Schizosaccharomyces pombe: one gene and its partners. The gene in region 4 interacts genetically with the main gene of each other region. Each region holds a gene or a part of one and is shown on either strand. Other genes may lie near its edges.

Evidence for each region.
Region 1: mutations in erf4 (region 4) and ste6 together harm fitness more than expected from each alone (negative genetic interaction), as found in Schizosaccharomyces pombe (one large-scale study listed by BioGRID).
Region 2: mutations in erf4 (region 4) and erg31 together harm fitness more than expected from each alone (negative genetic interaction), as found in Schizosaccharomyces pombe (one large-scale study listed by BioGRID).
Region 3: mutations in erf4 (region 4) and irc20 together harm fitness less than expected from each alone (positive genetic interaction), as found in Schizosaccharomyces pombe (one large-scale study listed by BioGRID).

What each region holds. Positions count from the first base shown.
Region 1 is NC_003421.2:1,764,045-1,769,471, forward strand, and holds ste6 (RasGEF Ste6), read left to right. Parts: upstream 1-2,041; coding exon 2,042-4,777; 3' UTR 4,778-4,927; downstream 4,928-5,427. Other genes in the region: triacylglycerol lipase Ptl1, read right to left, coding at 1-994; ubiquitin-protein transferase inhibitor Glm2, read left to right, coding at 4,949-5,122, 5,180-5,427.
Region 2 is NC_003424.3:931,722-935,705, forward strand, and holds erg31 (C-5 sterol desaturase Erg31), read right to left. Parts: upstream 2,248-3,984; 5' UTR 2,234-2,247; coding exon 1,331-2,233; 3' UTR 704-1,330; downstream 1-703. Other genes in the region: SPOM_SPAC1687.17C (Der1 family protein), read right to left, coding at 3,528-3,947. UniProt on the Schizosaccharomyces pombe protein: C-5 sterol desaturase; part of the third module of ergosterol biosynthesis pathway that includes by the late steps of the pathway. Erg31 and erg32 catalyze the introduction of a C-5 double bond in the B ring to produce 5-dehydroepisterol.
Region 3 is NC_003424.3:4,656,962-4,664,496, forward strand, and holds irc20 (ATP-dependent DNA helicase), read left to right. Parts: upstream 1-2,135; 5' UTR 2,136-2,294; coding exon 2,295-5,616; intron 5,617-5,635; exon of another isoform or gene 5,636-5,656; coding exon 5,657-5,922; intron 5,923-5,960; coding exon 5,961-6,160; intron 6,161-6,202; coding exon 6,203-6,243; intron 6,244-6,283; coding exon 6,284-6,582; 3' UTR 6,583-6,882; downstream 6,883-7,535. Other genes in the region: ornithine decarboxylase Spe1, read right to left, coding at 1-1,057; AP-3 adaptor complex subunit Apl5, read left to right, coding at 7,426-7,535.
Region 4 is NC_003424.3:2,827,843-2,831,121, reverse strand, and holds erf4 (palmitoyltransferase complex subunit Erf4), read left to right. Parts: upstream 1-1,937; coding exon 1,938-2,456; downstream 2,457-3,279. Other genes in the region: spd2 (ribonucleotide reductase (RNR) inhibitor family), read right to left, coding at 1-130, 316-323, 523-605; rit1 (initiator methionine tRNA 2'-O-ribosyl phosphate transferase), read left to right, coding at 2,435-2,493, 2,773-3,279. UniProt on the Schizosaccharomyces pombe protein: The erf2-erf4 complex is a palmitoyltransferase with a major role in driving sexual development. Palmitoylates ras1. Palmitoylates isp3. Palmitoylates rho3.

The DNA of each region.
Region 1 (5,427 bases), on a different chromosome or scaffold from region 4:
CAGCCCAGCTATTGCTAGAACATACGGCACTCCAGATCAGCACATTAGGGGCAGTGAAATAATTAAGAACCTGAGGGGATCCAGAAACAGCTGAAGGTGGAGCAACGATGTTAACAATACGTCCAGTACGCTCAAAAGCCTCTTGAAAGGTAATAGTACCGAGTCTTTGACGGACAAAAGATGCTATCATGGAAATGTCAAGCATATTCCCATACTCCACAACTTTTGAAAGAGAATAGTCAGATGTTTGCTGACATATTTTCCACAGTTCGCTGGGGAAAGTATCAAACAAACCATTCAATTCTTCATCACGATAGACACTCAAAAGCGATGCAATCAACGCACCTGATGCGCATCCTGCAAGGATTTGAGGAAGCAAATTACGTTTCCAAAGGGTCTTAGCTACCCCAAAGTGATATAGACCAAACGCAGTGCCGCCGTTGAAATACAAACAGGTAGTACCGAAGGAAATTCGGGCAGCGGAAAAAAAATCGCACTTAACGTCGTAGGAAAGCCTTTTAGTGTGATATAAAAACTCTAAACAATTGTTGACCTCACGTACATACTCTTCAATCAAAATTTTTGTACCCGAGTAATTCTCGGTATACAGAGAGGAATTGCCAATGTTGCCAAAGTTACGAAGTAAGCTAGAGCGCAAGAACATTAACATGGGATAGACAGATTTCCTCTGGCGGTATCGTTTTAAGGAGACCGTGCATCGATCAATCAATAGATAGTCGTACTTGTCCGAGGCAGGAGTAAAGCGCCATTTCCAACGCCCCGACGCCTTGTCAATCGTCGTAGCCAAAACTTTCCAATCCTCCCAAGAACGACAATCCTTGTTCATAACTACCTTTCCCTTTCGAGGGCCGGAACCACGCTGCTGCGATATCGACGTAGCGGAAAATAACCATTCAAAAAATGAAACCACCAGTAGCCAAATGGACGAAATATTCGCATACATAATGCGCCAGAAATTAAATAGTGCAGTCATATTAGGCAAACAATGGTAAATTCACAAATTACAATACAATTTCCAATCTTTTCTAATTTTACGTAACAAGTCTCAACAGGACCTATGGATAGAGTTATCCTTTAATTTTTGTAAGTTCCAACTAAAATCCGCTTCAAACACTTCATGAACTACTACAATATCTTTTATAATTGGAGAATTCCACCTAACAGCTCAATTCATAGAACTAGCTCAATTGAAGCTGGTTAATGGCAATTGGCACGATTACATCCGTGGGAAAAAACATTTGTTGAACTTGTCGGTGAATTCGGTGAACCCTATGTCATGGGCAGTTTATAGGTGGGCATGATGTGTATAGCGTATTAAATTGCCGTATTATATTGGTACTATAACGAAATAATTGCAATACACTATAATAAAGTGGAGTCGACTATCATGACATACGGTATTTAAATATAGCGATACATAAAATTTTTTTGCGTATTTTTACTGCCTAAAATGAATCGGTCAAGGATAGTCGCAAAAGCTTTTAAATTCACTGGTCTATTCCTTTAACAATAGTCATCAAGTTTGGATCAATAGAAAAGAATTCAACTTTTTTTTTTAGAAAAACGCTACCAGAAGGACAATCTGTTTTATTTTTCAGGAAGAACATTTTTCTTTCTGTATTTATTGAATAGCGAAGGATAGGGTTGAATAGTGAAAACAACGAAGTATTACTGTATTGCGGAATAGTCGCATACCCACAGGTTTTAGGTGAGTCCATTGTGAAAGTGATTGACAACATAGTCTAGTGAAATACTGTATGTAATATTACAGTTGCGTAGTGACAAAACGCGACGCGCCAAATTCACAGGTAATTTCTATTGTAGTAGCCCATTGTTAGTAAACAAAGAAATTCCCAAAATGGCTAATAATGGGAAAACAAGCTTTTTTTTTAAATAAACGGGTGTTTTCTTTATTTTAAAAGCAGGAAAATACTGAAATAACTTAAGAAGGTATATTTCCTCTTTTCTTTCAAAAATAAATGAATCGTGGAATTGATAGCATTCATGGACCCTTACGAAAATGAGGTTTCAAACGACCGCAATAAGTGATTATGAGAACAGCTCTAATCCTTCATTTTTAAAATTTTCTGCAGGAGACACTATCATAGTTATAGAAGTGCTCGAGGACGGTTGGTGCGACGGAATTTGCTCAGAAAAACGAGGTTGGTTCCCCACGTCGTGCATTGATTCTTCAAAAATTCAAAATTTTTTTTCAAGTTTTCATTCATCGAATGAGAAAGACCCAAATGCTCAATGTTGTGCGCCGTTTCACGTAGAGGCTCATCTTCAAGATTCTGCATGGTTTGAGAAACACGGAGTGCAAGCGATAAATAGTATCCCTTCTTCAGAAGAGTTCTTAAGAAAAAATCTTCAAAATGACATTCACCACCTTGTAAAAGGGATTCTCACCACCGCTGCCGCTGTGTCACAATCTATAAAAAAGGAAGGCACTCAAGTGATCGTTTTTGGAATTGAAACTGTTCGTAGTATGGTTCTTTCATTTCCCTTGATAATCCTTTCTACATTAGATGAAAATTTTCTCTCAGAAGTCGCGCAAGTGTTCTCCTCATTAAATTTATTGCCAGAGTTGAGCCGAATGGGTTGCACTTATGGTGAACTTTGCATCAGATTTACTAAGCTTTTGAAGCAATTGGCTAATAAGTTTTTGTTTTTCTTCAGGCCCGATGTTTCCTTCCCTTCTTACTTTTTGGGCTCTTTGATAGCGCATGAAATACATTTCTTGCCATGGGATTTTAATATGCTCTGTTCCAATTCTGTACAATCAGCACATACAAATCTCCAACCTGATATTACTTCCTTTGTTGCAATTTTGTCACTTTCACACGAAGCTTACCATTGCACTGAGAATGAATTTTGGAATTTAGAAGCACAGAAGCTAACTGAAAATACAACCCAAAAAGTACTACAGCTAGTTGCGGAAGATGCACTAGAAGCTTGGAAACTAGATATTCTAGAGGACATCGATAGATGCATTCAATGTTGTAGGCGATTCTTGTCTGCAAATCAAAGAATAAATTATTCTTCCTCTGAAAATAACCCTTTTTCTTTCACTTCTCAAGATGTTGAAGCCTTGAAGGATGAACTGTCTTCTAACTTATGTGATTTATATTTGTGGAGTATCGACTTGGAGCAAATCTCACCTAGCGATTGTTTACTGGACAATTATTCCCTTTTTGTTGATTTACTAGTAACCTTGAAAGTATCCCTTCTTCGGATCAAGTCAATAATTGTTCAATTTTCAGAAAGAATTGTGTTTCTTTCTCTAGAATACAAATTCCTCACAAATATCCAACCAGAATTGAATGATGCGGAGAAGTCCCAACTTGATGGTTTTGACCTCAATAAAACCAACTGGTTCGACTCTAAAGGATTAGTTTGTTATTTAATGAAACAGACTTCACCAGAGCCATTATTGATCCGAAACCTTTTGTTTTCATTTTGGTCATGTAATGGTAAAATTGAACAAGATGGAAAAATAAAAACAGCCACTTTAGTGTTCATTATAAATTACCTTCTAAGGACAGATATAGATAGTACATTTTTTACTACTATCTTTTTAAACACATACGCTAGTATGATCAGTTCTTCAGATTTATTTTCCATACTTGGAGCACATTTTCGGTTCATCTGCTCATTAAATTTTGGAAAAATTTCTTTTATTTCTCACGAATTTTACCGAGTTAGTAAGAGGTTTTTGGATATACTTCTTATTTGGTTCGAATCGTATCTTGTTGAAGAGTTGGACAATTCCAAGTCAATATTCTTTTTGTTTAAAATTTATAAAGTTTTTGAAGTCTTTGTAGTTCCACATTTTGCATCTGCTGAAGAATTATTGCATTCTTTATCACACCTACTTCATCATCCCTCTACAAAAAGATCACATAAAATGCTAGAGGGAAAAGAGCTATCCCAAGAATTAGAGGATCTTTCTCTCCATAATTCCCCTGATCCAATTATATATAAGGATGAATTGGTTTTACTTCTACCTCCTCGTGAAATTGCAAAGCAGTTATGTATCTTAGAGTTTCAATCATTTTCACACATATCAAGGATTCAGTTCCTAACTAAAATCTGGGACAATCTTAACAGATTCTCACCCAAAGAAAAAACTTCGACCTTTTATTTGTCGAATCATCTGGTTAACTTTGTGACCGAAACCATCGTGCAAGAAGAAGAACCTCGCAGACGTACCAATGTGCTAGCATATTTTATTCAGGTCTGTGATTATTTGAGAGAGCTTAACAATTTTGCTAGTTTATTTTCCATCATTTCTGCGTTAAATTCCTCACCCATTCATCGGCTGCGTAAGACATGGGCAAATTTGAATAGTAAAACATTGGCTAGTTTTGAGCTTCTAAACAATTTGACAGAGGCAAGGAAAAATTTCAGTAATTATAGAGATTGTCTGGAGAACTGTGTCTTGCCATGTGTCCCTTTCTTAGGTGTTTACTTCACTGATCTGACTTTCCTTAAAACTGGAAATAAAGATAACTTTCAAAACATGATCAATTTCGATAAGCGCACCAAAGTCACTAGAATTTTGAATGAGATAAAAAAGTTTCAATCTGTTGGGTACATGTTTAATCCCATCAACGAAGTTCAAGAGCTTCTTAATGAAGTTATATCGAGAGAGCGAAACACGAATAACATCTATCAAAGAAGTTTAACTGTAGAACCACGTGAATCTGAAGATCAAGCCTTACAACGCTTGCTAATTGATTCTGGCATTTTTTGAAGCGTGAACGTTAACAGTGATTTAAGTTTTTATGAGCTTGCTTCGAATTCCTTTAATATTTTCAAATCTTTTGTAGAACAATATAATCTTAAAATCATTTAATTCTGATATAGTCTGCCTCGTAAATTATCTTTCGTCCGTTTACCTCACACCTTAATATTCATAAGAAGAATGGACTGGAAAGAAGCGATTCCAGGTGCCGCCAAGGTAGCCATTGAAACCAAAGATTATATTACCTACTCAACGCTACTCGAATTGATATTGGAAGAAGCGCGAATAAAGGATATTGATGAGCAGCGAGAGTTGATTAAGTGTCTACATGAAGAATTGAAGCAAGAAAAGAATGTAAGTAAAAATATTCATGTAATTAAATATGAATTCTCCTAATAATGTTGCAATTAGGACCATATAACACGCGAAATTTCCTGGGACATTATAGGAATGGTGCTTCCATATGTTGGGAAAGTACAAAATGAGGCCGATGAGTTTGTGGACTTCTTAGCCAAAAACGGAAATCCAAGAGAGGTGTTCCTTAAATGTTGTGAACTTTTGATAAATGGAGGCTTTGAAAGTCCCCAACAATTCATATCTCTGAACAGTGCCATTTTATCAGCCTTACACCGTATATCTACAAAGCGACCAGTTCTATT
Region 2 (3,984 bases), 1.9 Mb from region 4:
TAATATAGCCAGTGAATCTGCCTTGTTGTGCGTACATATACCAATCGCTATCTATACTGATTCTACAATGGTCTACTTGTGTGGATATTCTTTTCGTTCACTTTTTTTTTGTCGTTATTGGTGTTGAATAAATCAAACCTGAATTTTGTTTTGATGAGAACTAAATTTTTTCGATCACGATTATTTTCTTAATTGTTATTTTAGGAGTCATAAGTAGACCATCTTAGTTTGCTGAAAGTTTTTCAGCGACTTTAAAACTTTAATTGGATGAGAAATGTAATCGGTAATTCTTTCATTCTGGAAAGTATACTGCAGAATCTCATATATACATATATATCATAATTCTTATACTAGTAAAATGTTTGTGATTGATTCAATTAATATTTTATGGTTAGGTTTCAAAAGAATGTTTTGTTTTTATTATTGTTTAATTCATTTTTTTGTCCTCATTAAAAATTCTTTTGGTAGAGTCATTACTAAGTTTTTGCTTCGTAGACTACATGAAAGAAGCTGGTGAGGCGAAGTAATATTATGATTCAATACTACCTAAGATATAGCAAACATCAAAAGGGTACAAAATTCTAGGAAATCATCTGGCAACGTTAGATATCAATATGTAAATAGAAATAGAAAAACATGTAAATCTAATTACATACTAAGTCAATAAATGGAAAGGAGTCTGGTAATTTTTGATTAATTAGCAGTGGTTTACAAACGAATAGTTACTAGTTATTGCAAATCAAAATTAGTGTCGATGACATGTGTAAGCTTGACATTCATTTTATTTCAAAATAGAAAAGTAAAGATAAGAGCAAAATTTTCATTTCGTATACGAAACTAGCAAACAACTACAACGACGTGAACAGCAAAAACGAGTGTATTTGAAGTAAATTATTTGTGAGATGATAGTACCAATCAACCCAACTGAACAAACAACGTTTCAAAAGGGAGGTGGTAAGAAATTGCAAAGCAAAAAAAACAAGTCATTTGAAAAGAAAGGAGTGAATGACTAGATGCGAGACTTCCAAATTTTCTGGATTTATCGTTCTAAAAGAATAAACCGAAAAAAAACAAACTTGGGAATGCTAAAGAGACTCGAAATGTAAATTAGCAAAAAGTTTGCAAAGGATATATAAAATCGCTCACATTGTTCCTTTATAGCAACTGAAGGTAGAGCGGGTAAATAATGCATGTAATACCAACCATAGAAATAGAAATACGTGACCAAAAGAGTAAAACCAACGGGGAAAAATGAAATGGGAATGATGAAAACGAAAAAAAAAAGTAAAATCTTTTCAGAGACAAACTCTTCTGAGTCTAGATATGTTGTTTAATGGTTCTTCTTAGCAGAGTTAGCGATGTATTCTCTATCATCATCACCTTCAACTTCATTACGAATAGCCTCGTACTCCATCAATTCGACACGAAGAACATCCTCGTTTTGGCGAAGATCTTTGTCAAACCATGCCTCATCGGGGGCCCGGAAAGAGTTGCCGAGGCGATCAAAGAGGGTGGTGAATTGGCCGTAATTGTAGTTGAAATAAATGTGATGGCCATTATGGTGAGCAGCACCATTGATGATGGGGTTGTTGGAGATGTATTTACCATCGTGAATCATGATGGACCAGAAGTTGACAAAGGTGAAAAGAGCCAAGTAGGTCAACTTGTGAAGGGGAAAGAAAAAGGGGAAAAGATGGTAAGGAAGAGATTGTAAGAAGCCATCAGCGGATTTGAAAGCATGGGATGCATATGGAGTGCAGATAATCCACTTATGATGGAGTTTGTGAAGACGAGGGTATACATAACGGTGATGAAGGAAACGATGAGCCCAGTAAATGCCAAAATCTGAGAACATGACAAAAAGAGGTAAGGAACATAAGAAGTATTTTAAACCGTAATCACTGATGTTGTCGTATAAGTAGCTGTACCCATGCAACTCAGCCAAAAACCACGGAACCGTCAATAACGCCATACCAGGTAAGTTTTGTAAAGCCGTTAGAACTTCCATGAACACCTGGTTTTTTAAGAACTTTGGGTGATCCATCAGACTTTTATCAAACACAAATTGGTAGGAAAGCGACGCAAATGTTAAATACAAGAACATACCGCCAAACCAAGTTAAAAAAAACAAACTGATCGACTGTCTAACGATATTGTCGCGAGCTAATGGATATACAGCATTGTATATCGAATCCAGCGCATATTGGTCAGCATAGTTGAGTAGGTAGTCCATTGAGGTGTTTGCTTAAAATCTATTGACCGGTGGTAGCGTATAAGAAGTACCAAAAAATGGTCTGATTTTGATTGCGATATCTAGTTGGCTGCTATTAATTAGTCAATAGGAAACCGAGTTATCTTTTTCGTTAAAGTTTTTATCAAAAAACAAAGAGGTGGCTTATACACTTCGGTTAGTGAGAGGTAGATAGGGCAGATCGGAAAGGACATCACTGTGGCGGGAAGAATCTCTTACACTTACTATGTGGGGGAATAGTACTACGGGGGCTCGCTATTCAACAAGTACAACGAGGTTGGACATGAATGTTTGATATCGAGCAAGTGGGTATATATTAGTCGAAAATAATCAACTTTACGATACAAGATCTAATCTTAAAACTATTATAAGTAAATGAGATGAAAAATTAAATAAGAAAGATAAAAAATTGAAAAAAGAAGGTTAACATTCCTCCATCTCGGGTTTGTTCTCAAAGGCTTAGAGGTTACGCTAGATTGCTATTCTTAGACTTGGACTAATTTGGTACCCCCATTTTGTTCTTTTTAATCCACTTGCATTTGTAAGTCTAGGAACGATAATGGTATTTCTCAAGAGTATGCAATATGTTGCTGATGTTTTAAGACGATAAATACGCAGTTAGAACATAGTCGTTTAAAAAAAAAAAAAAATAAATAAAGTAAAATAATAAAATTATTTAAAAACAAAAATTTTGGACAAGCCAGAACTCGAATCTGGGACCTCTTCCATGCTAAGGAAGCGTGATAACCATCTACACCACATGCCCATGTTGAAATACTCGCATATAATATAGTATATAATTTACATACTTTACATTTTCATTATATCTTAAATACAACACTTTTAAAATGGAAATAGCGATTATTCAGAAATCATAATGTTGCTCGCGCATAAAGTAAACATACAAATAGTAGCTTGTAGCCCAATTTTTTTTTTAAAAAAAAAAAAAAAAAAAAAAAAAAAAAAACTAATGAGATAAAACATTTATTACTTAGTTTTAAGAAATAACAAGAAAAGCTCGAATGGCTTGGCAAACCAGGAAACGCCTGCGAATTCCTGAAATTTTCGTAATATTATTCGTGCCCTTGATTAGGGAAATCATTCATCTAACATTTTAGATAAACAAAAGACAGTGACTATTCGCCATCCCTAGTCTTTCACAAGCTCAATAGAAATCGACTTGTAAAGATAGAAAAGGAATCAATAGGCAGCAGTCAATCAGAAAACAAGTGTGGTATTTATTTACTTTTTTTTCTTTTCTTATTCTCTTCAGGCGTCATACTGTAGAAAAATCTGTAACGAAGAAGTATACATGTCCAATCAAAGCACTAATTAAATCAAGCAGTGGAAAGATCCCAGTTCGTAACCAGCGCAATAATACCATTACCCATGGAACATAAGGTGCTTTTACGTCGAAAAGACCTAGTATCGAGATTCTGTACAGTGGATGTTTCCACGACCATATGTATAACATGGTAAATGAAAAGTAAGAAGCTGCAAATGGCATGTAGGAAAAATAGGAGGTAACTAAAAGAGAAAACCATACTATCAATACCGTTTTTAAGAAGCTCTGTGTTTGAGGCGGCGGACTAGATCTTTCTAACATACTCATGAAACGAAGTAGAAACGACAAATATAAAATCAACTCTAATCCAAAAGGCCCAACATAAAGGAATGTAGTTATTGCCCTCCAGTACTAAATAAATCTTGTTAACAAGCTAGAATTAGGGAAA
Region 3 (7,535 bases), 1.8 Mb from region 4:
ACTTTAGAACTCGAGCAACTGGATGTTGATGGTCAAACAAAATACAATTAAGGCTACCATAAACACCATCGTTTACGTAATACATCACCTTCTCTTCATCATCAAGCTTCCGTTTGGCAATTACATTGACAGCCAAAGTAAACGAAGAAGAGACGAAAAAGCGACCGGGCTCAGAAATAACACGGATGGAGGGATCAAAATAAGTATCCAAGGCAGAGCGAATAAGGTCTGCTACGCCATCAAAGCTGTCATTCATGAAACCACCACCAATGTCCAACAAGTCAAAATTAAATCCCCTTTCAAGTCCCTGATCAAATACCTGACGAGATCGTTGGATAGCATCCAAAAATGCTGAGGGATCATAGCTTCCTGACCCAACGTGAAAGCTAACACCGACGACATTTAACTCCAGGGACTTTGCGATGTCTAGCAGCTTACCAGTATCATCGAGAGAAGCACCAAACTTTAGACTGAGACGGCAAAGACTATTGGAATCATCGGTAGAAATACGAAGAAGAAGACGTGAGTTGGGATGATGTTGTTTCACCTTGTACAGCTCATCGGCATTATCAAAAGTCATCAGATTAATGCCTTTAGAAGCAGCATAGCGCACATAAGTTATGGCTTTACAAGGATTGGCGTATACAATTCGATCAGGGGATACACCTAAGCCAAGAATTTGTTCGAGTTCACCCTTAGAAGCACAGTCAAAACCAGTTCCAAATTTATTAAGCAATGCAAGTACCTTAGGATCAGGATTACATTTGACTGCATAAAATGGTTGAACACGAGGTAATTTAGCATGCCAACGAAGAAGTTGGCGATATACTCCGTTCAAATCAGCAACAAAAAATGCATCAGAGTCAGCGGGTTCACCACGGACAGCTGCACGCTCAATTTCCTCAATCGTGTTTTTAAACGCCTCACCAATCGCCTGGCGAGACGATCCAGGCGAAGACCATGTCACCACTGAGTCAATTGGTTTAACATGGCCAAGTAATTCCGTCGTACGCAACGACTCGCTGACGAGCATATTCTTTTCCATAATAGCAGGCATCGTGTAAGTAAGCTTTTTCTCTTCTAGAAATTCCGAGATCACTAAATTGAATCGTTGAATAATTTTTCTTCGGATACAAGCTAAACAAACGTTTTGTTTGTCAACTGCTCGCTTTACAATAATTTTACTATTTCAAATCAATCAATGATTTGAAATCTGCTGTTGATCAAAAAGTCCTTATTCGAGAGATTGTCTTAAATAGGAGACGTAGACGGAAATTTGCACTTTTATATACTTTTGGTGGTCGCGCAAAAAGAGCGTTTATCCTTCCAGATTCTTTTTCTTACCCACTTGTCACTGTTTTCTGCTAATTCCCAATCGTGTTGTTGGTTAAGGGTAAGTTCAATTTTGCAATGTGTGCGTACATAAAAAAATATTACACACTAGTAGAATTAACCTTAGTTTAGCGTTTGTCTTATTGACATAATAGTCTAACAAATCGAATTGCAATGTAATACGGTAAACGCAGTTTGGTTTAACAATATTTGCGACGACAAGAATCCTTCAAACTAGGATATTTCTTTAATATGTATACAATCTTTAGTTTATATTTTGTACTTTAGTTTATGACAATAACAATAATCTTTGTCCAGTGAAGGTGACATCACTTTTAAAAACTTTCCTACCAGTTTACGTTTTATTTAGAATTTATATTTTTTTGCTAATTGAATTAAACTTGGTAATCGATATATACTTAAAGGATGAGCACAGTGTTTTAGCAATAAGGAATAGTGTGTTTGTACAATACCGAGTAAAAAGGGCTCTTTCTTTTAGCCAGCAAATGAGATATTAAGTGTATCGGTAATTTTAATAGTATTTACAATTTACTTACTAATTAACGTAGATGTTATTTCTTAGGTAATTTTGAGTTCTAATTCGTGTTTGTACTGATTCAACCGTGAATAATAGAATTCCCTTACAAACGATTTATCGATATTTACCTTGTCGTACTTTTAAACCAAAAAAAAAAAGAGGGAAGAAAGGTGGGGAAAAAATACCAAAGTAATATTCGACTCTGCAAGCTTTAGCAAAAAAAAAGTGGCACATGTTTTAATCAAGACACTTTTTGCCCACAACTAAGAACAAAAGCACATAACACAATGCCTACCCTTTTGTGTTCTTGAGGGTTTATATATTTTCGTTTATTTCTTTGTACATTAAAGAATTCTATTCATTCTAAAATTTTTAAGTCTATTGGTTCAAAACACGACTGTATTTAATTAAGAGAGGGAACATTATGGACCGAACTAAGAGGCGAAAAATAGAGAAGGAGGCTTCCTTACTAAATGAAAGAAACAACCTTTTGGAAAGTGATTTCGCCAATTGCTACCGTGCATTCCAGCACCAACTCAAGCTAGACCAGCAGATATGGCGTGGACCAGAGGACGAGTTAAATCGGCTAAAGTCTACTATTTATCCTGTCGTTTTTTGGGTTGATGGATCTGAGAAACTACATGCATATAGTTTTACTCAAAGAAAAATTTCATTGGCCAAAAACTTGATTCCTTTGTTTTCTGTCGACTTGAATAAGGATACTTACTCTGCTTTAAAAGCACCTCTCAAAATTTGGAGTAAGCTTTGGGAGGATAATAGGCGGCTGAAGAAAATTATAAAATACACATCTTATGTTACTGTAAAAGGATCCGAGTTAATTTTGTCGTTTGGCATTTCCATACTCGACTCTTTTCTTGCCCCTCAAGATGCGATTCTTTCATCTGGATCATCTTCCTCATACACTGCTTTACTAGACTATACGTTCCTTCCGTCTGAAGATGAGGAATATTCTTGTTTAGATATTAACACTGCACTATTTTACGATTGTGCAAGAAAATTGGCAAAAAGCCTACGTTTCGCCAATGTATCACGCGATCCAAGGCTTTCTTCGGAACTTTTACCATTTCAAATGCGTGTTTTAGAATGGATGAAACGAAGAGAAGAAGAGAAATTCCTAACCTCAAATGATTTACCACCTCTATGGTACCATTGCAAAAGTCTTTTTGATGATCGAATGGTTTACGTTAATCATGTTTACGGCTATATGACATTTTCGAAAGAAAAAACATATTTGCTTGCGTCCGGTGATATACGTGGAGGCATTTTAGCCGATGAAATGGGCATGGGAAAAACTTTGGAAGTCTTAGGATTAGTTTTGCATCATCAGTTGCCAATTTCTTTGACTGATACTTGTACTTTCGATCAGGTCGTCGGAAAAAATGTAAAGTATTCCAAGGCCACCCTAATAATTACGCCTTCTACAATTCTCGATCAATGGTTATCTGAGATAGATTTGCATGTGCCATCATTGAAAGTATTCCATTACCAAGGAATCCGAAAATCCAATGGTTTGAAATCAGCTAAAATTTTTTTGGATTGTGATATAGTGGTAACATCTTATTCTGATTTACGGTTTGAGCTATTGTACACTGAATCTCATTCCAGGACCTTAAGACATGAAAAGCGACATGTTTCTCCAAAGTCTCCATTGATTGATGTATGTTGGTGGAGAATTTGTGTTGATGAAGCTCAGATGGTTGAAACTTCACAGAGTAATGTCGCACAAATGATTTATCGCATACCTCGTGTCAATTGTTGGACTGTAAGTGGAACTCCCGTACGTAGTGAAGTTGATGACCTTTTTGGCCTTTTATTTCTTCTTCGCTACTCCCCTATGTATTTATACAAAAAACAAGCTTGGATGCAAATTATAGAGAAGAAACGTGTTCGTGAATTTTGCGATCTGTTTGGCTCCCTTGTATGCAGACATTCTAAACAGGACGTTGAAGAAGAATTAAAATTACCTCCTCAACATCGAATCTGCATGACTACAAGACTTAGTGTAGTAGAAGAAACGAACTACCAGGATTTATTATCAGAGGCGGCCAAGTCTTTGCACTTTTTCAAAGACAGAAATTTGGATTTGTGTGACGAAGAATCTATGAGGCGTTGGTTGGTTCGTTTACGACAGGCATGTTGCCATCCGCAGGTTGGATTTGGTAACAAATCCGCATTTGGAGGTGGACCCATGAAAAGCATTAATGATGTATTAGTTTTTATGTTGGAACAAACAAACTCTACATTCTCCTCGTTAAACAGGAAGCTTTATTCCGATAAGATTATTGTTGGTCAAATATATGATCATATTAAAGACTATAATAAAGCATTGGCTATTTGGTCTGAAGTCAGAATACCTGTCGAGCTCGCTGTCAAAGAATTAGAAAATGTTATTTACAACTCTAAATATGAGGACCATGGTAAAAATTTACCGATTAATTATTTTGGTTTGGATCATTTCATTCATCTGCGTGTTTGGTATGTTCTATTGCATAAAATATACTTTTTTATAGCAAGCGCTTATTTTTCTTTAAAAAACGAAAAGTTTGAAAATGAATTTTATTTGCTCGCGCAGGATTTAAGAAGGAAGATTATGAGTGATGTGATTATCAAAACCAGCAAGCACCTTGAAGAGTTTTCAGAAAAATTTATTCCAAAGAAACTTGTCAAAATACCACGATTACAGAAATCTTACGCAAAAGGTCTCATAACCGGACATGGTATAATTGAAGACTATAATAGACTTTATAAAGAGTTGAATGATCAAAAGGAGGTGCTTATAAAATTTAGAGATCGGCTTATCCATTTGATGAAACTTCCACTTCTGGATCAAGAATCGGATCCGACCGGCGATGAATACGAAGAATCATTGAATGCGCAATCAGAGATATCCTATTGTATTGATGTTTACCGTCAAATGCTTTCAGATCGAGTAGCGGCAGTCAGCGGTACTATTAATACCTTTGTGTCTCATGAAACAGAACTTGAGAAATACAAACTTATAGAGAGTATAAAAAAATCGGAGAAATCGTTAGACAAGCAGGCTGAAGAACGTGATAAAAAATATTTGCTTTACTTTGAGGAAAGGGAAGAAGCAAGGCCAAAAGCAGATCAATACGGATCATTAATAAATATAGTTTCAAGACTGTTAGATGCATCAAATAGATCCACCTCAAGTTTTGAAACTTCTAAAAACATGGAAGAATATGAACGGATTGATGCAATGGCAAAGGAGCAATCTAGAATTTGCCAAAAATTGGAAAAAGAATTGAGTATAATTCAGTTGACTTATAATTCAAGGATTGAGTACTATAAACAGCTGCAGGAAATTTCTGACTCTTTGATGCCTCCTCCCGTTTCAAATATCAGTTTAAACAATTACGTTAAAGACGACGAAAAAAAACAAAAATTTTTGAACTCTGTTATAATTAAAGCTTCGGTGATTTTGGAAAAAGAAATTTCAGAAAAGCAGGACGAAGCAAGTCAAACAACAAACGTAGCAGAACTCGTCAATCAAAAAATATCCGAAATGAATATACCTGGACATATCCATCTGCTGCGAGAGCTAGAAGAGGAAAAAAGCAATACCCAACGTAAAATTGCTCACTTCGAATCAAGGAGAAGGTATTTAACAAACCTATATGAACATATTGTCCTTAAAGCTGAATCTCATCAGATTTGTATAATTTGTCGTGATATAATTAAGCAAGGTTTTATAACAACTTGTGGTAAGTATTTGTTGGATCGTTTATCTAGTTAACTTGTTAGGCCATTTGTACTGTAGTTTTTGTTTGGAAGCGTGGTTGAAGCATAGTTCGTCGTGTCCAATGTGCAAAACCAAATTGAACAAAAATAATGCTTACTATATTGGCGAAAGTAGGGATATATACTCTCGTCAAGAGTTTGTCACTGGTTTCAACAAACGAGACGAAAGGCTTGAAATTCTCGACGATGAAGCATACAGGCAAATTTCTAATATGGAGTTAAAGGAGTCATTTGGATCAAAAATTGACACAATATCTAAACATCTTTTGGTAAGCAACATTTGTATTTAGAGTGGATCTAACTTTAGTATTTGAAACATAACGAACTTTATCCTAAAGTTGTTGTATTCTCTCAATGGCTTGATGTTTTGGATGTTTTGCACAAGTCATTTGAAGCGAATGGTATCGTCTTCATACGTTTTGATGGAAAGTCAAAGAACACTTGCCTAAAAAGGTTTAAAGAAGAACGTAGCTTACAAGTACTTACTTTACATGCAAGATCGCAATCGTATGTTTAAACTGTTTAATTATTTGTTCTAATCTTCATTAGATCTGGTTTGACGTTAACAAATGCCACTCACGTTTTCATGTGTACGTCGATATCTGTATTAACAAGTTTTAACATTGACAGGTGAACCATTACTAAATAGTGGAATTGAAATGCAAGCAATTTCACGCGTTCATCGAATTGGGCAAACTCGTCCGACGTTTGTTTACTACTACATTGTGGAAGATACTGTTGAAGGTCATATTTTAAATCTTTCATTGACCAAACATGAGCAGCTTGACAAACTAGGTTTGGATGTACCGCTAGTTGGTAATATCAATCGCACTACTGAAGCTAGCAGCGGCGGAGAACAAGTTGATGCCGCAGAAATTAAAGATTGTCTTAAAATGGCTTTAAAGCGGCTCACCACAGAGGATTCATGAACATGAAAAAATTGATTTTAGAGAATGATGCTGATAGGTCAGGTTTAAACAGAATAAACGGCAATACTGTACTACTTATTGGTGACAGTGATGTATGGTTAATCCTGAAGTACCCCTTCGCTCAATACTGTTCAATTATTCATCTGTTATTAAAGCAAAGCACGAAGCATTAGTTGGTTTTCACTGGTTAGATTGTGCAAACACTTAGAGTCCGAATTACAGGAAACTTATACTTAATTTAACATTGTACTGTTGTATTAATTATAACCACTTTTTTAAATACAAACCTATGTAAATATTAGAAATTAATATAGCAAGAAAGGTCGCATTTCTCATTCTGGGTATTGGATTAAAACATATTGTCTTTGTTTTTCATTGATATCAGCGATGTTACTGGGCTATTAAATGCGATGTTAATTTATAACTATAACTATAGAATGAACATACGTTTGTGCTACGAATATACACTCGTTGTTATTAAGTTATCTTTTTTTTTTTAATAAAAATGAACAGGACTATTTGAACTATGAAACGTAAGTTCTTTTAGCATCATATTCAATTATAGTTAAACAAAATTGTTTATTACTATTAAAATAACACTGATTATCTTTGGAGACATACTTTATATCAAATTACAATAATTATTAATAAAACTCATTGCAATTTATTTTTCTCAACTGCGTTAGCTAATTCACTGCTACGCGATATAACTAATTAACGATTGCTGCTTCAGCTCGATAATTCCTTTTCGTCAAGGATACATTGCGATATAGTCTTAAGAGAGCAAACTGCATAAAGCCGGCTTTGGGATATATTTAACTGACTGTTGAATTATAAATTGTCATGGTGTTTGAAAGGACACTAATTGACCTAATTAAAGGGATAAGATCTCATGCAAATGATGAGGAAGCATTTATTGCGACTTGTTTACTAGAATGTCGAAAAGAAGCGAC
Region 4 (3,279 bases):
AATTCTTGCTTCAAATCATCGAGACGAAGATTAGGATCATGTTTTTGCTGAGGAAGCTCATTTCTATCAGTTTGATCCTTGTGGTAAGAAGGGAAAAGTTGTTGGTCAAATTTGTAACCAGTTTGAACAGCTGCTAAAGTTAGTAAAAACTGCTTTCATCTAAACAGGAAAAAAGGTAGAAAGGAAGTAGTTTCTATAAAAACAGTTTTCCATTAAAAGTATAAACATGAAGAAAGAGTGCTTTATAGAAATTTTTGATTAAGGTATTAATAAACAAATCCACTCATTTTTTTTTTTTAAATTTGATTCACGTACCTTTGCGACTAAATGATTGTTAGTTATTATACAAAAAGACTAAAAAAGAGTTAAATCATCAAATGCCGTGCTGCAGTACAATTGTATTATAAGTTTTCAAAAAAGTACTTAGACCTTTAAGCCCTGTCTCTTACAAAAAAAGATAGCAGAACAATCAGCATTTTGGATAATTCAACGTTTAAAAGTAAAAAATTGGATTAAACTTACACTCTGGCTCCAACATCAAAAAGAGTAGTTTGAACTAGCTGGGGAAGTTCGTCATGATCGGGAAGCTTGAACGTTTCAGACATCCTGGATAAGTAAAACAATTAAAAAGTATCAAACAGGGGGAAATTGACAAAGTATAGTTAAATATAGGTAAAGACGGAGTGGTGAATCACAAATGCTAGCAATTACCAATCGCAGAGCAATCTTTTAATTTTCAATGATTAGGTGGTAGATGGTAAGTAGTTTGGGGTTGCGATTGTAGATCATACGAATTTTCTGTGACTCGAGACAGGTAACACTTTTTCTATTGTTTACCTATGGAAAAAAAAAACAAAACAGTGTAATGCGATACATATTTCCTTTAAACAGTTATGTTATGGGTATCATGAGAAACTAAATTTTCATCTTCGTAAAGGAGGGTTCTTTTTTAATCGTCTTTCTTGGAATTTCTTCAAATCATGAATTCAACTTGCATAAATGGATAAGAAAAGTTGGTTGTAAGAATCTATAGATATATATTTAGCATGTTTCTTTTATTTAAACGAATATTCCTTTTAGAAGCGAGTAAGCTTCAAGTCGTATAGAACGCAGACGATATTAAGCCTAATAGGATCTTTAACGCTTAACTTAATAGCAAGCACAATGAGTTTTAGATAGCTGAGTACTTTAAAGCAACCTAACTTCCCTTGCAGCTAAAAAAGTTTATTGAACTTGATTTAAGACGCTCTTCTTGGACTGAGCAAGGACTTCAAAAAAGCCCGCATTCGTTGTCAAAGTTTTATCTCATCTAACGACTAAAGTAATATGAGTCAATGCTCATATAATATACAGTCGAATATTTTTTATATTTTATTACATTTATTTTCCCAAGTAGTTTTTCCAGTTCATTCTAAGTAACTTTTATCGTAGATGAAATATATCCTGTAGAGAGCTTTTATCCTCTTCCTGAACGAGCAATACGTTTTATTAATTTTCAATTCCTCAACAACTAAAACCACATCCTTTTATCAATCTTAATTTTCACTATAAATCCGTTCAAATTACCTAGTGACAAACTGTGTGGTTTTTGTTTCAAATCTGAAACTCACTCAATTAATCATAATGATTTTTTAAAATGAGTTATCATTGCCCATTTTACAGCTATTCACTCAATTAATCACTCAATTCTGACATTTAATACGTTTGTTTGTTTAGTTCCGGTTATATGATCAATCGATGAACTCATGAGTGTTTTATAATTTTTTAGTCATTTTTAACGTTGTTTAACTTATAACTTTCCTGTTTATTTATTTTTTTTCTTGTGCTCTACCGAATCCCAGTTTCATTATACATATTCTCTAATCCGTCTTCTAATATTGTACACTTGAACCTAGAGCTAGGGAATCCACCAAGCTTCATTTCAGTAGGTTTTTTCGATGCTTGTTCGCATTGAAAGGGATTATTCGGTTTCAGGAGATAAATATCCTCAATTTCCAACCGATTATCCTGTACCTCTTCGAGCTTATGTGAATCTTGAGGATTGGGATGTATTCATTCACACATTAAACGAGAAACTGAGAGAAGCCTTCTGTCCATGGTCAATTGGAAATCTATTAGATGGAATTCTATCTGTTTTAACGATTTATATCTCGGAGTTCGTATTTGGCAGTATTCATCGTAAAAGAATTGGGGCGATCGATTTGTACATCCTGGACTTTGCAACCCAACATAATTTATACGTTGCCAGCCTTCGCAATATGGGGTTTTTGAGTCTCGTTTTTCATACAAAAGAAACAAATTCGAAAAGTAGTACTCTCCATTCCAATCCGTACTGCCCGGAGCACCATTCTATACGAACACTTCCCTCTGCCGTGACTGCCACCACTTCAAATATCTCAACTTCTAGTTCTCACAGAAGTGATCTGCCAAACGAATGGACGAATTCGACCCTTTAGACGCTGTGCAACAAATTCATGTTCAAGCAAGACACCCGTAAGTCTCAATTTGCTATACAAATAAGCTGGCAGAATCAAAAGACTTAGAAAATGATTGCTACCTTTATAAACGCACAAGCAATTAATGCAAATTGTAAGAAAAAACGATGGATAGCTGCTATTAAATTTTCATGAAAAATTTTTAGCCTAATCGCCATTTGTTGGATTTCGTACTGATATATATTTTTGCTGATTTTTACTTGTTTTTCCTTTTTGCCTTGCTTTTCTTTTATTTGTATGTCATCGAATGGAAAATTTGGCTAACACTAATTTCAAGAAAGAATCGGTTGCTGTCAATTGCACACGATGCCAAGTTTGTCGACTCAGTTATAGCTTCGTACCCCACATTTAAACCTGTTGTAAATGAACGATGCGGTACGTGGTATGTCAACCGACGACATGCTCCGATTTCTGTTTATTTCAAAAGTACTGATGGTCATACCGGGCAATGGTCTTTTAGCTGTCGTCGTCTCAATTTGCATTTGCTAAATGAGATAACCACTTGTGATGGATTGATTATAGTAGATTCTACTCGTCGTGGAAAGAGAATGCCCGATGCTCTATCAAAGACGATTCCGATATGGATTGCTACGCTCAATAAATGTGTTTTCGAACGGCTTCGTCCCCATTCCTTTCCTAATGCTCGTTTGGCCTTTTTACCCCCGTTTTTACCTGATACAGAAAAATCATCTATTTTACAGAGGCTAGATGGATTTGTAGATTCTTTAATGCAGTCCGGCATTGACTTAGATGCGTTGGCGGCTAAGCTAACTAAACCCATTCG